3 linked regions of the Saccharomyces cerevisiae S288C genome follow. The protein of the gene in region 2 purifies or fractionates together with the protein of the main gene of each other region. This does not show direct contact. Each region holds a gene or a part of one and is shown on either strand. Other genes may lie near its edges.

Evidence for each region. Proteins that work in one complex are often made in the same cells at the same time.
Region 1: the proteins of UTP9 (region 2) and DIP2 purify together in Saccharomyces cerevisiae (affinity purification with mass spectrometry, with the first as the bait; 3 studies listed by BioGRID). This does not show direct contact.
Region 3: the proteins of UTP9 (region 2) and KRE33 purify together in Saccharomyces cerevisiae (affinity purification with mass spectrometry; 4 studies listed by BioGRID). This does not show direct contact.

What each region holds. Positions count from the first base shown.
Region 1 is NC_001144.5:396,803-402,988, reverse strand, and holds DIP2 (snoRNA-binding rRNA-processing protein DIP2), read right to left. Parts: upstream 3,333-6,186; coding exon 501-3,332; downstream 1-500. Other genes in the region: low-affinity Zn(2+) transporter ZRT2, read left to right, coding at 1-195; NEDD8 ligase DCN1, read right to left, coding at 3,556-4,362, 4,457-4,459; APC2 (anaphase promoting complex subunit 2), read left to right, coding at 4,670-6,186. UniProt on the Saccharomyces cerevisiae protein: Involved in nucleolar processing of pre-18S ribosomal RNA.
Region 2 is NC_001140.6:490,023-494,158, forward strand, and holds UTP9 (Utp9p), read left to right. Parts: upstream 1-1,908; coding exon 1,909-3,636; downstream 3,637-4,136. Other genes in the region: MDM31 (Mdm31p), read left to right, coding at 1-374; NVJ1 (Nvj1p), read left to right, coding at 725-1,690; RIX1 (Rix1p), read left to right, coding at 3,874-4,136. UniProt on the Saccharomyces cerevisiae protein: Involved in nucleolar processing of pre-18S ribosomal RNA. Required for optimal pre-ribosomal RNA transcription by RNA polymerase I together with a subset of U3 proteins required for transcription (t-UTPs).
Region 3 is NC_001146.8:372,218-378,991, forward strand, and holds KRE33 (ribosome biosynthesis protein KRE33), read left to right. Parts: upstream 1-3,103; coding exon 3,104-6,274; downstream 6,275-6,774. Other genes in the region: peptidylprolyl isomerase FPR1, read right to left, coding at 1-9; YNL134C (uncharacterized protein), read right to left, coding at 234-1,364; FYV6 (Fyv6p), read right to left, coding at 1,954-2,475; TOM22 (Tom22p), read left to right, coding at 6,550-6,774. UniProt on the Saccharomyces cerevisiae protein: RNA cytidine acetyltransferase with specificity toward both 18S rRNA and tRNAs. Catalyzes the formation of N(4)-acetylcytidine (ac4C) at positions 1280 and 1773 in 18S rRNA.

The sequences.
Region 1 (6,186 bases), on a different chromosome or scaffold from region 2:
TTAATTGCTAATGGTGTTTTTGACTCGATATCATCAGGAATTCTTATTTATACTGGACTAGTCGAATTAATGGCTCATGAATTCTTATACTCTAATCAATTCAAAGGACCTGATGGCCTCAAAAAAATGCTTAGTGCATATCTCATCATGTGTTGTGGAGCTGCTTTAATGGCTCTTCTAGGGAAATGGGCATAGTATCTCACGTATATTTTGTTAGATTAGATAGTTATTCATTATCAAAAAAAAAAAAATGCATGACCTATAATTTTACAACTGCTCTGCAGAGACGAGAGACATCTCGCAAAAAACAGCATATGTCAGCGACCAATAAGTATAAAAAACACATATTCCGTTATTTGGATATGCCCATTATTACCGAAGGGCAATCGGAATGACAATTTTTATGATTGGAATTGTATAATATACAGATAATTTAATCTATCCTTTTGAAGTGTGAAAAGGGCAGAGTAATGCCGGTATTATGTAGGATAATAGTTTTATTATATAACGGTCCCGAAAACTCTCTTCCTTGCACTATTACTCTCTTTCTCCTGTTGGTCATATTCGTCAACGAATTCGTAGTTATGCCTTAGATTCCATTGTTGCTTGACGAATTTCAACCCTTGAACATTAAAGCCTAGATCATCCTCGGTAGATTTTAATGCACTTCTTAATTCAGTCTTTACTCTATTTATTTGCAATTTCAATTCTTCATTTTTCTGAGAAACCAATTCTTTATGATTAAATTTGATAATGAAAAATAAATTCTTGCAAATTAATGGTAAGTGAGAGTGCAGCAAAGTTTTGTTTTGCATAACGGTATCAATAAATTTTAAAAATTTGAGGACATATGAGAATGGCATAACCATCAGTGCATCTTCTAACTGAGACATTCTTATTCTTAACAGGGTATCCATAATATATTGCTCAGGAGTTTTATTCACAGCAATTAGAACAGCGTTACCCTGTGGTTTTATTGGCGCTTCACCCAACTTCTTTCTTTGCCATAGCTTCATATCTCTGTTATATGCCTCTAAACCTTCAATCTCAGCAATTCCTAAATCTAGCGCCTCCATAAGTCTTTCACCAGCCTTTAACGATTCTAAAGTCTGTTTATGAACACCGGATGCTTCATCTTCAACGCCTTCACCCGATGCATCAGCTTTAAATGCATCATCACCGTTTCCTTCTTCCAAAGAAGTTAGCAATGTATCCTCGTACTGTTCTTCAAGTTCTTTCTCCTTTTCCTCTTCTAAAAATACCTGGTCCTCGGTTTCTTCCCAGATTCTTATACTGTGATCATGGGATGAAGAAACAACAAAGCCGCCATCAGTAGCAACCGCCAAAGCCCAAACTTCGCTCTGATGAGCGTATAGTTTTTGAATGCATTCAAATTTCTCGCCATCCCAATATTTCACCACTGCGTCTTTAGAACAACTAAAGAAGTTGTGAGACTGTGGTAAGAATTTAACGTTCATAATCGAATCCTGATGGGCAAATAAAGACTTGTGACAGTCACCAAAATCTAAACCCCAAATCTTGATATTTTTGTCTGCGGAAGACGTAATAATCATCTTAGAATCAAATGAAATATCGATAGATAGTACAGGTAATTTGTGCCCATATAAACTTAGGTAAAACTTCATTGAGTCCAAAAAGAATACCTTAACAGTATTATCCAGCAACGAGATGGCTAGATATCTATCGTCAGGAGAAACCCGTACACATAAAATGTCGTCAGTTAATTCCAAAGTTGTATCATGGTGCAGTTTTAAAACAGGCAGGAATTTGTTCTTGGTACCTGGCACTAGGCTATTTTCAACTTTGAAATCCCAAAACTTGACAGTTTTATCGGCAGATCCGGTCACTAATCGTTTACCATCTGAGGTCAGATCTAGCGACCAAATTGCCGCATCATGTGCATCTTCAATGGTATCCAAAAGACTTGATGATGCTAGATCAAAGAGCTGTAACTCCCCGTTTCTTGTACCCAGTATGACTAGTAGCCCACCTGGCAAAAACTTACAAGTTAATGCATACCCACATTCGAAAGTTCTGATACATTTATGTGTTTTGATATTCCATATTTTCAATGAACCATTGGATGCTGTGGCAAGTAATTTGTTATCATCACTGATGTCAATACTACGCACATCCGTTCTTTGCCCTTGCAATTCAATAGTATGTGTCTTGAGAGGAGCAGGGCTTGTTGGGTCTCTTTTTTCATATGGAATGGAATAATACTCTATGGTATTACTCGATGTAGTTAATACCAACTCAAGTTTGGAACTTGAGACCGTTGTCCATGATGCAGATTTTATTTTATACAATGATCTTATGGTTTGAAAAGGATGCAATATAAAGGAGGAGTAGGATTCTTTAATAGATTTTGCAATTTCTTCTTCTGTCAACCCCTTTTCTTTTAGCCTCTTCTCTCTTTTCTTTAAACCTCTTGCTATTTCTTCTTCTTTTCTAATTCTGAAAGTCTCGATGGTTTTATCAGCATTTTGGATGTAAAAAAAAGAGGTTTTGTCAGACGAATTTGTTATGAACTCAATCTTTAACCCACGTTGCTTACTTTGCTTTTCGAAAATACCCATCTCTGTTAGTTTCCCCCCCATTTTGTCATTTTCTATATCCAGTTTCCAAATTTTTACTTGACTATCAGTACCAGTTGTGATCAGTAAATCATCCTTCACTGCAAGGCCCCAACACTCTCCAGTATGCGCAATATGTGTCTCTATACATTGATGTGTTTTTAGGTCCCATAGCTTGATCATTCCATCTTTGGAGGTGCTGATCAGCCAATCTTCTCCTTGACACCAAAAGCCAGTAATGGAATCCTTGTGTGATCTAAGTTTATAAAGACCAACTTCTCCAACAAGATCCCATACAATGATATTGGAGTCCTTGGAACCAGAAATTAATCTTGTGCCAGTCCCATCAAATTGTAATAATGTTATAGCTGCTTTGTGACCGTTAAAATTCAAAAGCACAGTCTTAGACATCAAATCCCAAACTTTAATGACACCATCTGCGTAACCGACAGCTAATAAATCCGTATCTTTATGAGCCTCCAAATATGTACACTCGGCTGGCTTGGCGCCTCTAGCATCAGATGCGCCTGGAGGTAAGCCATCGGATAATTTACTGACCAAATCCCCGGTCTTAATATCCCATATATTAACGTCCTCGAGAGCACTCGTAATCAATTGTCCTGGTCCACTACCATTACTATTTCCGGATGACGCAGGTATCCAAACACAATTGGCATTGGAGGCTATTACACCAAAAGCAGCTGCTTGCTCAAAACGTTGGTATGATTTGACCATAATAGCTCTTATTCCAGTTTCTCTGGTCCTTCTAGTGGCTACTCTGATATACGTACGACCTTATACAATATCTACATCTATATTATGAGGGAACTGAAAATTTCTGAAAAATTTTCCACTGCTCATCGCGTTTTTTATTTCCGCCTTATTCCCATCTATCTTAGAAGGGTAACGTATTCCATGCAATATTAAACAGCATACCCTTAAGTATATGAAAGGATGTTTATTGCTGATCCTGTAAGCACTCATAGAACTCATCGATAATAAATGGCCAGGCTGCAGTTTCGTCGTAATCGCTTATTATTTTCTGAATAGTGGGGTATCGTTTGAAAAAGAGGAGCAGCATACGCCAGGTGTCTTTACTTATAGTGGTTTTCCCCTCATCGCGAAGGAAACGGAACCATGCCTCAAGCAAATCTGGTTCCATACGCACTGGGTACTCTGGTTGGAAAAATAGCTTCCAATACTGGATGCCTTCGTCTGTATCTATATCCTTTCGATTTGGGTCCAGAATCAAATTGAAAGCATAGTTATAAATCTGTGTGAAATATTGTAAGTCTTCATGTAATTTAACATCTAACGTCTTGATGCACTCTTGCATGTCTGAAATGGTGGAACAGCCTTGCATAAACCATGTTGACAGGAAGTCCTCTCGTTTTAAGGGTTCTTCTAGTTTCTTGTACCCCAGTAAATGGGCTAAGCATAATGTCGCTAAATCTTCAAGATTGTAGCCTAGCTCCTCAATGAACTTGACCAGTGAGTCTATATCAAACAAGTTGTTATTGATATAGTGTTCAAATACCTGTGTTAGCTCCTTCGGGTATACGGGTGGATGAGCCACAGTTGAAACCTCGTCAGTAAACGTCCCTATTTCCTTGTCATAATAATCATTGAGAGCGTAATTGATGTTCCAGTGATTACGCTGCAGGTACTTCCTGGATACCTTGGGGTCACATTTGGTTAATGAGGTGAATGATTCAATTGCCTCTTGTTCCGGGCTTGCATCCTTTCTTTTTATTTTATTATTACTCTATAATGATGCATCACATTTGAGCGCCCCTTGCCAATAAAGTGTTAGTACTTTGAAGAGCCTGAGAACTAAAGAAACGAAATTAAAAACATACCATGTCCTGAATGCAAGAACGTCTCTTCAAAAATTTCTTTTTTTATTGGGTACTTGCATGTTACTGCGTAAGTTCATTAGTTGCATCTAAATTTTCAAACCTTTGGTTACAAAAACAGTAATAGACAAAAGAGCCAAAATATCGAAAACTAGACGAAAGCCAGACTTAGCGGGACTGTAAATATTTATGGCTTATAGTTAAGGTTTTTCCATCATGTCATTTCAGATTACCCCAACTCGAGATTTGAAAGTTATTACAGATGAGTTACAAACACTTTCCTCATACATCTTTCACACAAACATAGTCGATGATTTGAACTCTTTACTTACATGGATGAGCCCTAATGATGCCAAGAGTAACCATCAACTACGTCCTCCAAGCCTTCGTATTAAGAATATCATTAAGGTTCTCTTCCCTAATAACGCAACCACATCGCCATATAGCATGATAAACACTAGTCAGGCAAACAATTCAATAGTTAATGAGGGAAATACAAACAAAGAGTTACAACTACAACTTTTTTCCACGCTCAAAGAGTTTTATATTTTCCAGGTTCGTTATCATTTTTTCTTACATTTTAACAACATTAATTATCTAAAAGATATCCAACGATGGGAAAATTATTACGAGTTTCCTTTACGTTACGTTCCTATTTTTGACGTAAATGTAAACGACTGGGCACTTGAACTTAATTCTTTAAGACATTATCTGTTGAATAGAAATATAAAGTTCAAAAATAATTTAAGAACAAGATTAGACAAATTAATAATGGATGATGATTTCGACCTGGCAGACAATTTAATCCAATGGCTCAAATCTGCTAATGGTTCCTTATCCTCTACGGAATTGATAGTCAATGCTCTTTACAGCAAAATCAATAAATTTTGTGAAGATAACATGAGTAGAGTATGGAATAAAAGGTTTATGATTATGGAAACATTCAACAAATTTATTAATCAATATTGGTCTCAGTTCTCTAAATTAGTCGGTTGTCCAGAGGATGATCACGAACTGACCACTACAGTTTTCAACTGTTTTGAGTCCAATTTTCTTAGGATAAGAACGAATGAAATCTTTGATATATGCGTTTTGGCTTATCCTGATTCAAAGGTTACTTTATTGGAATTGAGGAAAATTATGAAAGATTTTAAAGACTACACAAATATTGTAACAACTTTTTTGTCTGATTTCAAGAAATACATTCTAAACCCCAGCGTAACTACGGTGGACGCTTTGTTGAGATATGTTAAAACTATCAAAGCATTTTTGGTCCTGGATCCAACAGGGAGATGCCTACATTCAATAACCACGTTTGTTAAACCTTACTTTCAGGAGCGGAAGCACTTAGTAAATGTATTGTTATACGCAATGTTGGACTTACCTGAAGAAGAACTAAAGGAGAAAATTAATTTCAATGTAGATATGAAGGCACTGCTCTCACTTGTAGACACTTTGCACGATTCTGATATCAATCAAGATACGAACATCACCAAAAGGGACAAGAATAAAAAAAGCCCCTTTCTATGGAACCTCAAGGTGAAAGGAAAGAGGGAATTGAACAAGGACCTACCAATAAGACACGCCATGCTATACGAACATATACTCAATTATTATATAGCTTGGGTACCAGAGCCTAATGACATGATTCCCGGTAACATCAAATCAAGTTATATTAAGACAAATTTGTTTGAGGTGCTTTTGGATCTATTTGAATCAAGAGAATTTTTCAT
Region 2 (4,136 bases):
TTGACCCGAACGACTACTTTATTATGGACTTTTCTTTAAGACTATACAATGTCAAAGCCGAAGTCCCTCTGTTCACTTCTGGCTTAACGTATATCAATAGTGCATTGATAAGGCCTATTGTCGGGTACATCAATTCTCACAGGACATACATCCCAATCAAATGCCGCATTGTAAAGAAAAAGTCTGATTTTGAGGGCTCCTGGACCATATATGATTCATACCTTATGCGGGATCTAAGTGCGGAAGCGTACGATGCCTTCGCCGACTACGTCGCTGACGATGAAAAGAGGACATTACGCTTGAGAAGGGTGGGCTTTTGGTCACTGCAACTTATACTCCAGGTGATTTTGATGAGTCTCGGTGCTATCGCGTGAGGAATACCTACTCCTGTCACTTTCTGTACATATGCATTTACATAGCATCGTTCTTTCTATCAGTTTATCTAATTTGTGACGCATCTTTCTTCTTTCTACACTGCGGAAAATCCTATTTGAAAAAAAATAGACGAAAAATATCAGGACCCACCCCCTTATGAAGGAGAGAAGGGGAAGAGGAGCTGCAAAACAAAAAGGTGAGGCTTCTTCTGTCCAGATTTTTGTGAGTGAGAGAGTGTGTGGGAAGAGAAGGAATTAAACCAAACAAAAATTGGAACCAACAACTGTTGCGTTTGCGTGTGTGCATAATATCAAAAAAGCTACAAATATAATTGTAAAATATAATAAGCATGACTCGTCCCCCATTGGTTCGTGGAATCTTTTCGTTAGGTCTTTCTGTAGCCGTTTTGAAAGGTGTTGAAAAAACAGTTCGTAAGCATTTGGAAAGACAGGGATGGATAGAGCCCCAGAAAGTGGACTATGAGTTAATTTTCACTATAGATAGGTTGAAAAACTTGGTAGATAATAAGCGTGAGGCTTTAACTGCGGAACAACCCGACGCTGGTGAACTGAGCTGGCGTAAAGTATTTAATTTCATTTCCAGACAATCCAGCGAATTGGACACACGAATATACGTTCTTATACTACTCCTATCCTTTCTACTACCTATCGCGTGGACTGTACTGGACGGTGATCGCGAGACCACGCTAGAAGATAAGGATAACGATTGTAATGTAGATCTTATTGAAAACGAAAGGAGGCTGAAGCATTACAACGATGGTGAAAGAGCAGTATTGCAATTTGGTAAAAATAGATCCGAACCTATTATATTAAGCTATAAGGACATGAACGTTTTGGAAGGGGAACATGAGTTTACCTCCAAAGAGGAACACAGTAACAGCCATTTGACAAGCAAGAGCGAAAATGCACTAAACCAAGTAGGGAGTGAAGATTTGTTAGGTTGTCACCTGGAAAAGCAATTGGAAGAAGACAAAAATGAACCGAATGGAGAAGCAGACGGTGAGGATGATAATAACCGGGAAAAGGATTGCAGCTCCAGTTCAGAAGTTGAGTCGCAGAGTAAATGCCGAAAGGAAAGTACTGCAGAGCCTGACTCTCTCTCACGGGATACCAGAACAACCTCTTCCCTTAAATCAAGTACATCATTCCCCATATCATTCAAGGGCTCGATAGACCTTAAGTCGTTAAACCAGCCTTCATCATTGTTGCATATACAAGTATCTCCCACAAAATCTAGTAATCTAGATGCACAAGTGAACACTGAACAAGCATACTCTCAACCATTTAGATACTAATGTACTATATTTCCGTCATCTCGGTTATCATCGTCACTTACAACGAGGTGCGAAAATTTTTTTCTTCTAAAGGTGAGAAGAAAACATGAAAAATTTTGAAAAATTTAACGATGAGATGGAGTTTTCAAGTAACTTTATGTAGTTGAAATACATATTAGTACTCCGTTGCAATATATAACGCCGGGCATTCTCCACGTATATACATACCGTAGTGCACAATGGGCTCCTCTTTGGATTTGGTGGCGAGCTTCTCGCATGATTCCACTCGTTTTGCATTCCAAGCAAGCGTCGCACAAAAGAACAATGTGGATATTTATCCATTAAATGAAACTAAGGATTATGTGGTCAATAGTTCATTAGTGAGTCATATTGACTATGAGACAAACGATATGAAGGTTTCAGATGTAATCTTCTTTGGGTGGTGTAGTGATTTGATAGATACGCAGTCATCCAATATCAAAAGAAAATTAGATGAAGATGAAGGAACTGGTGAATCAAGTGAGCAAAGATGTGAAAACTTTTTCGTTAACGGATTTCCTGACGGAAGAATTGTTGTTTACTCTTCTAATGGTAAGGATATAGTTAATATCATCAAGAATAAAAAAGAGATTTTGGGAGCAGACACAGACGAGTCTGATATATGGATTTTGGATAGTGATAAAGTCGTTAAGAAATTACAGTATAACAATTCGAAACCTCTAAAGACTTTTACGCTAGTTGATGGTAAAGATGACGAAATAGTTCATTTCCAAATTTTGCACCAAAATGGCACTTTATTGGTATGCATTATTACTAAACAGATGGTTTATATTGTTGATCCATCAAAGAGAAGACCCTCTACTAAGTATAGTTTTGAAATATCAGACGCTGTAGCATGTGAATTTTCTTCAGACGGTAAGTATCTGTTAATTGCCAACAACGAAGAATTAATAGCTTACGACTTGAAGGAAGATTCAAAGCTGATCCAATCATGGCCTGTCCAAGTGAAGACATTGAAAACTTTAGATGATTTGATAATGGCTTTGACTACTGATGGTAAAATTAATAATTATAAGATTGGCGAAGCCGACAAAGTTTGTTCTATAGTTGTAAATGAAGATTTGGAAATTATAGATTTCACGCCAATAAACAGCAAGCAACAGGTTCTAATTTCATGGCTAAATGTCAATGAACCCAACTTTGAATCTATTTCTTTAAAAGAAATTGAAACTCAGGGGTATATTACAATAAACAAAAATGAAAAAAATAATGCTGATGAAGCGGACCAAAAGAAATTAGAAGAGAAAGAAGAAGAAGCTCAGCCTGAAGTTCAACATGAGAAGAAGGAGACTGAAACTAAGATAAACAAGAAAGTTAGTAAATCAGATCAAGTTGAAATTGCTAATATTCTCTCATCGCATTTAGAAGCTAATTCAACAGAAATATTGGATGATCTGATGTCTGGAAGTTGGACAGAACCAGAGATTAAAAAATTCATCTTAACCAAGATCAATACAGTAGATCATCTAAGTAAGATATTTTTGACTATATCAAAGTCAATAACACAAAATCCATGGAATGAAGAAAATTTACTTCCGTTGTGGCTTAAGTGGTTGCTGACTTTGAAAAGTGGGGAGTTAAATTCTATAAAGGATAAACATACAAAGAAAAATTGCAAGCATTTAAAATCTGCATTAAGATCTTCAGAGGAGATCTTGCCTGTTCTACTCGGTATACAAGGTAGATTAGAAATGTTGAGGAGGCAAGCAAAATTGAGAGAGGATCTTGCACAACTATCTATGCAAGAGGGTGAAGATGATGAAATAGAAGTTATAGAGCATTCAAATGTAATTAGTAATCCTTTGCAGGATCAAGCATCGCCTGTTGAAAAGCTTGAACCAGATTCAATTGTTTATGCAAATGGAGAAAGTGACGAATTTGTCGACGCATCGGAATACAAAGATTGATCAAGCATTTTAAATATATTTAAGTATATACAAAGAAAAGTTTCACATGAGAAGCACTGATTGATGCAGCTATTAATTTTCAAAAGATTACGTTGTCTTCATCATTTGAGACGGGTCATCGCAAGAAAATTTTTCAATATTAAACTATAATAAAATGTAGTAAAAAATAGATGCAATACTACTATTCAATTTTTGTGGTTTTCCAGTTATCAAACTAAGTATAGACAAAATTTGAGCATGTCAGAGGAATTTATCGCAGTTTCTACTTTGGCTAGAAACCTGGAAATTGCCAAGGGTAATGAGTTTCATACCATTTTGGCGACTTTAAGATCACCAGTTTATATCAATGAACAGCTGCTAAAATCCGAATTGAGCTTCCTTGTTACAAAAATCCTAAAACTTATCAGATCAGGCAATGACTTTGATCTTTGGAAAGGATGTCACACCTCTGTTGTGACTTGCGCCTATAATCCACTGGTCTTATCGACTCATGGAGGTCA
Region 3 (6,774 bases), on a different chromosome or scaffold from region 2:
TTCAGACATTATTACTTGTTTTGATTGATTTTTTGCTTATACTCGAGTTTAGGTGAAAGGCCTTACTTTAAGCTTTCACGAGTTTATCCACCAAATTCTTTCAACGACGTCTCTCTTCCGGCAATTTTTTTTGCCCGAAAAAGACTAAGGCGGGTGAGGGGAATTGAACGGCACTATAATGTGGAGGTAAACAGAATGATCAAGCGCTATATACATAAGTAGCTATAGATTATTTATTTCAAGACGGCAACCAACTTTTCGCCAGAATTCCTCCCGTGCTTAATATCATCAAGTAACTGTGGGATATCATCTAACCCGTTCTTGTAAACTTTCACTGGGATGTGGTGGATTTCACCATCATTGATTTTTGGATTGATGAACTTAATAAATTTTATGGCGGCTTCCTTGTATTCAGGGTCTGCTGGCAAAGTAAACGTGCCAAATGGGACGTCGTTACCTCCTATCAAATATAGAAGGGTTCCTTCAATACTGACGTTTTGCCTCCTGTCTTCCTCCTTGATATCTTTTTCGGTTAAAACGGTCAATTGAACGACCGTAGCGTCTAAGTCATCAGCGGCACATTTGTACACCTGTTGAATAGTTTCTGTGTTGGAGACACAGTCCACCAAGTAAGGAATGTTGTTGTACTTCTTTTTTATCTGTTCGATAACGTCAGCATCGTGGTAGTCAAAAAGTTCATCTGCACCGTACTCTTTCAACAATTTTTCATGTTTACGAGAAGCAACGACGATGATCTTGCTGAAACCGTTTAGTTTTTTTGCCAATTGAATAAGCATCTGGCCAACAGCAGTGGCACCACCCCAAAATAAGATGGGTTGATCTCTTTGCGCTTTGGAGGGCTTCCATGTCATGTCCAAGCCAAAACTATGTGTAAGGATCATACCAGCCGTGGTCAATGAGACTGGGAGGGATACTGCCCCTTCTAAAGATTTTACGGGGCCTTCTGGTAGCTTGTCTTTACCGCACAATCTAAACTCTCTGGCTGGTTTATAAGCAGTCTCGGATGAAATGGCAGAGTACTCAGCAAAGGCACCGTTTGAGGGGAACCTCACTGAAGCACCGTGAATAACCCCATAAATGTAATCACCAATGGCAAAGCGTGCAGCATCAACATTTGGGCCCAACTTTACGATTTGGCCGGCTGCATCACAGCCTAAGAGGGCACCTTGAGGACCAATCTTGAAATCAATATGTTTCCAATCGGTAGGGTTACCGGCAACGGCGACAGTCTTAATTAGAACAAATCCTTCTTCTAATTCAGGAATTGGAATGTCCTGTTTGACTACAGCCTTGCCATTTTCAATGACAACGGCTTTCATGGTTTCTGGAATCGAGGCGGACATGCTTGATATGCAGTATGATATTGCTTTTTGCTGTGTATAGTTAACGATTTTTTTTCAACTAGAATTACAGTACTAATCAAGAAGTGAGAGGAAGAAAACGGCAAAAAAAAAACTCTCTCCTTTTAAATCGAAGCATTGCCGAAATACCTTAAAAACGGTCTTAAATCCTTAACATCTGTCCTTACTAATCGATGCCAATCCAACGGAGGGAGCCCATATGCTAGGTACTAAGAGTACGCAGGGGCGGAACCGCGCGACAACCGTAAGCGGATCCGAGGAACTTTAGTCAGCAGGGGCTGTGATGACCATTAAAAAATTGCGGACACAGGTAGTGGAACGAGCAATCAATGTGATCAATTTGCCATTTCATTCCACGAAATGGTTTCCATTCTAAGCATGAATGCTTTGACGTTACGGGTGTTGGTTATTTCGGTTCTTTTTATTGCTTCCGTGGGCACGTACGAGAAGGGAAGATGAATAGAAAAAGAGTTTCCGAGTTTTGTATGTCCAATGTTTACATAATTTATATAACTTGAAGTTTAATCTTGGCATAAAGCTCTAGTTGTGACGAAGTGTGTAGGCCATCACATCAGTTCTCCAGTTTTCTACCCAATTTTTTTATGGATACCTTGATTTTTGGTTTAGGGCTGGATGTCTTTACGCCCTTTATTTGTGTTTTACTGCCCAAACTAGTGCCGGTCTCTAAATATTTTTCTGTATTAGTAGTAGAATCGTTCTCCATTAGTAATGCTTTTTTTTTCTTTTCAAAATTGATTGCCTTGACGTCTAAGTAGTTATTCAGTTCTTTTTCCTTTTTTAGCAACTCATTCTTGCTCTTCTGGTAAAATTCCAGGTCCTCTTTACTCAACCTAGTAAAACTTTCACGGTCTCTCACCAAACCGTTATATTGTTTTTGTTTACTAATAGCATTAGACCTAAGCTGATCTCGCAGGGACTTCCTGGTTTTCCTTTTATATTCCGCTTCATATTTTTTTTGCTCCACTTGCTCTCGTATCCTCTGGGCCTCTACATTACCAACTCCTTCTGACACGAATTTCAGTGGTTTTTTCTCTCTTGCACTATTAGCATTATTATCACTGGTAGATGACATGATGATATAACAGAGCCCACAGTCTTTTGTTGGAACCGCTTTCTCTAGGCTTCGATGGACTTACATCTAATTGCACATTCTCGTGCGTTTAAACGTCATTTTTCCCTCAGATTGGCAGTGCATCAAAAGTAATTCCTAGGGACGACAAAAAGGCGGAAAAGGTTTCAGAAAAATAAGCGGACTTAGCTCAGTTGGGAGAGCGCCAGACTGAAGAAAAACTTCGGTCAAGTCATCTGGAGGTCCTGTGTTCGATCCACAGAGTTCGCAATTTGAAAAATTTTTTTTAATGATTACGCATGTGGATGTGTTCAGTATCAACCGATGCTCGCTTTTCCAATCAAATGATACAAGCCAGACCGAACATTGCATGTTTTCCATTGTAACTTCCCAGGTATATCTGAATTAGTTGTAAAAAGTAATAGTTTACCCGGAATCGTGTGAAAAATTTTGAAAAAAAAAAATGAAGAGCCAAGATACAATGAGATGAGATGAGGTGCTGAAGATGCATGGAGATTCTGTATTTATCTCAAATAAAGTACGCAATAGAGTATATAAGCCAAGTCACCTTTTATATTTCTTAGTTTTTAACTTGCAAAGACTTATAAGAGACTTATAAAACAAGGAGAAAATGGCCAAAAAAGCTATCGATTCAAGAATCCCGTCACTGATCAGGAATGGTGTTCAAACCAAACAAAGGTCCATATTTGTCATCGTTGGGGACAGGGCACGTAACCAGCTCCCAAATTTACATTATTTGATGATGAGTGCTGACCTTAAGATGAACAAGTCCGTCTTATGGGCTTATAAGAAGAAGCTTCTAGGATTCACTTCGCACAGAAAAAAAAGAGAGAATAAAATTAAGAAAGAAATTAAAAGAGGTACAAGGGAAGTGAATGAAATGGACCCTTTTGAATCTTTTATCTCTAACCAAAATATCAGATATGTATACTACAAAGAGAGTGAGAAAATATTGGGTAATACCTATGGTATGTGTATTCTTCAGGACTTCGAGGCATTAACCCCAAATCTTTTAGCAAGAACCATTGAAACTGTAGAAGGTGGTGGTATTGTGGTTATTTTATTGAAATCAATGTCATCGTTAAAGCAACTGTACACCATGACTATGGATGTTCACGCCCGTTATCGTACTGAGGCTCATGGTGACGTTGTTGCAAGATTTAACGAAAGATTCATACTTTCTTTAGGTTCAAATCCAAACTGTTTAGTCGTTGATGATGAATTAAATGTTCTACCGCTATCTGGTGCCAAAAACGTGAAACCACTACCTCCTAAGGAAGATGACGAATTGCCTCCAAAGCAATTAGAGTTGCAAGAATTAAAAGAATCCTTAGAAGATGTCCAACCAGCTGGTTCATTGGTTTCTCTATCCAAAACTGTCAATCAAGCCCACGCTATTCTTTCTTTCATTGATGCCATTTCGGAAAAAACTTTGAATTTCACAGTTGCACTAACAGCTGGAAGAGGTAGAGGTAAGTCTGCTGCTTTAGGTATTTCTATTGCCGCGGCCGTTTCTCACGGGTATTCTAATATTTTTGTTACTTCTCCATCTCCCGAAAATTTAAAGACTCTATTTGAGTTTATTTTCAAAGGATTCGATGCCTTAGGTTACCAAGAACACATTGATTATGATATCATTCAATCTACGAACCCCGACTTCAACAAAGCCATTGTGAGAGTTGATATTAAAAGAGATCACAGACAAACGATTCAATATATTGTTCCTCAAGACCATCAAGTTCTGGGCCAAGCTGAATTAGTTGTCATTGATGAAGCTGCAGCTATTCCTTTGCCAATCGTCAAGAACTTGCTGGGCCCATATCTAGTCTTCATGGCATCCACTATCAATGGTTACGAAGGTACGGGTAGATCTTTATCTCTGAAGTTAATTCAGCAATTGCGTAATCAAAACAACACATCCGGTCGGGAAAGTACTCAAACCGCCGTTGTTTCGAGAGATAATAAGGAAAAAGACTCTCACTTACATTCTCAATCCCGTCAATTACGTGAAATTTCCTTGGACGAACCAATCAGATATGCTCCTGGTGACCCAATTGAAAAATGGTTAAACAAGCTCTTATGTTTAGATGTTACTTTAATTAAAAACCCAAGATTTGCAACAAGAGGAACTCCTCACCCATCCCAATGTAATCTATTTGTTGTCAATAGAGATACTCTATTTTCTTATCATCCTGTCTCAGAAAATTTCCTGGAAAAAATGATGGCACTGTACGTTTCATCCCATTACAAGAATTCTCCAAACGACTTACAACTGATGAGTGACGCCCCAGCGCACAAACTATTTGTTCTTTTACCACCAATTGATCCAAAGGATGGCGGCAGGATCCCTGACCCTCTATGTGTCATTCAAATTGCATTGGAAGGTGAAATCAGTAAGGAGAGTGTCAGAAATTCATTATCGAGAGGCCAAAGAGCTGGTGGTGATTTAATCCCATGGCTGATCTCTCAACAATTCCAAGACGAGGAATTCGCTAGTTTGAGTGGTGCTCGTATCGTCAGAATTGCCACTAATCCTGAATACGCATCCATGGGCTATGGTTCTCGTGCAATTGAATTACTGAGAGACTATTTCGAGGGTAAATTCACTGACATGTCTGAAGATGTTCGTCCTAAGGATTATTCTATAAAGAGGGTGAGCGATAAGGAACTGGCCAAAACTAATTTATTAAAGGATGACGTTAAATTAAGAGACGCAAAAACGTTGCCACCTCTACTATTAAAACTTTCTGAACAGCCTCCTCATTATCTACATTATTTGGGTGTTTCATATGGTTTAACGCAATCGTTGCATAAATTCTGGAAGAATAACAGCTTTGTTCCTGTTTATTTACGTCAAACCGCAAACGATTTAACTGGTGAACATACTTGTGTTATGTTGAACGTTTTGGAAGGCAGAGAATCAAACTGGCTCGTTGAATTTGCCAAAGATTTCCGTAAAAGATTTCTGTCGCTTCTTTCTTATGATTTTCATAAGTTTACTGCCGTTCAAGCCTTAAGTGTCATTGAAAGTAGTAAGAAAGCACAAGATTTGTCTGATGACGAAAAGCATGATAATAAAGAATTGACGCGGACGCATCTGGATGACATTTTTTCTCCATTTGACTTGAAAAGATTGGATAGCTACTCAAATAATTTGCTAGATTATCACGTTATCGGTGATATGATACCCATGCTTGCTCTTTTGTACTTCGGCGATAAAATGGGAGATTCAGTAAAACTATCAAGCGTCCAGAGTGCTATCCTGTTGGCTATAGGGTTACAGCGTAAAAACATCGACACTATTGCCAAGGAATTGAATTTACCTTCCAATCAAACTATTGCTATGTTTGCGAAGATCATGAGAAAAATGTCTCAGTACTTCCGTCAGCTGTTAAGCCAATCAATTGAAGAAACTCTACCAAATATCAAAGATGATGCTATTGCTGAAATGGATGGTGAAGAAATCAAAAATTACAACGCTGCAGAAGCACTGGACCAAATGGAAGAAGATTTAGAAGAAGCCGGTTCTGAAGCCGTTCAGGCGATGAGGGAAAAACAAAAAGAGCTAATCAACTCCTTGAACTTAGATAAATACGCCATAAATGATAACAGTGAGGAATGGGCTGAATCTCAAAAATCTTTAGAAATAGCTGCCAAGGCCAAAGGCGTCGTCAGTTTAAAAACTGGTAAAAAGAGAACGACTGAAAAGGCTGAAGATATCTATAGACAAGAGATGAAAGCTATGAAAAAACCAAGAAAGTCTAAAAAGGCTGCAAATTAAGCGTTCTACTCTTTGTCAAACCCTTTTATAGCTAAACGTTTACTTAATTTGTACAATAATATAGAATAGAAACATAGTTGATGTTTGAACCTTTACATATTCCTTTCAATCGTGTCGAGCGATATAAGTATTACGATTATGCCGGCGAAAACTGAACCCGTTTTAGACAATTTCAATCAACATACTCCACTCCGTAGTGAGTAACTTTTGGAGTAATACGAAGTAACCAAAGAGGTCAAAACGGAACTATATACCCCAAAATAAGCATCATTCAAATGGTCGAATTAACTGAAATTAAAGACGATGTCGTTCAATTAGACGAACCACAATTTTCCAGAAATCAGGCCATCGTGGAAGAAAAGGCTTCTGCAACAAACAACGACGTTGTCGATGATGAAGATGACTCTGATAGTGATTTTGAAGATGAATTTGATGAAAATGAAACATTGTTGGACAGAATCGTTGCTTTAAAAGACATTGTCCCCCCAGGTAAGAGACAA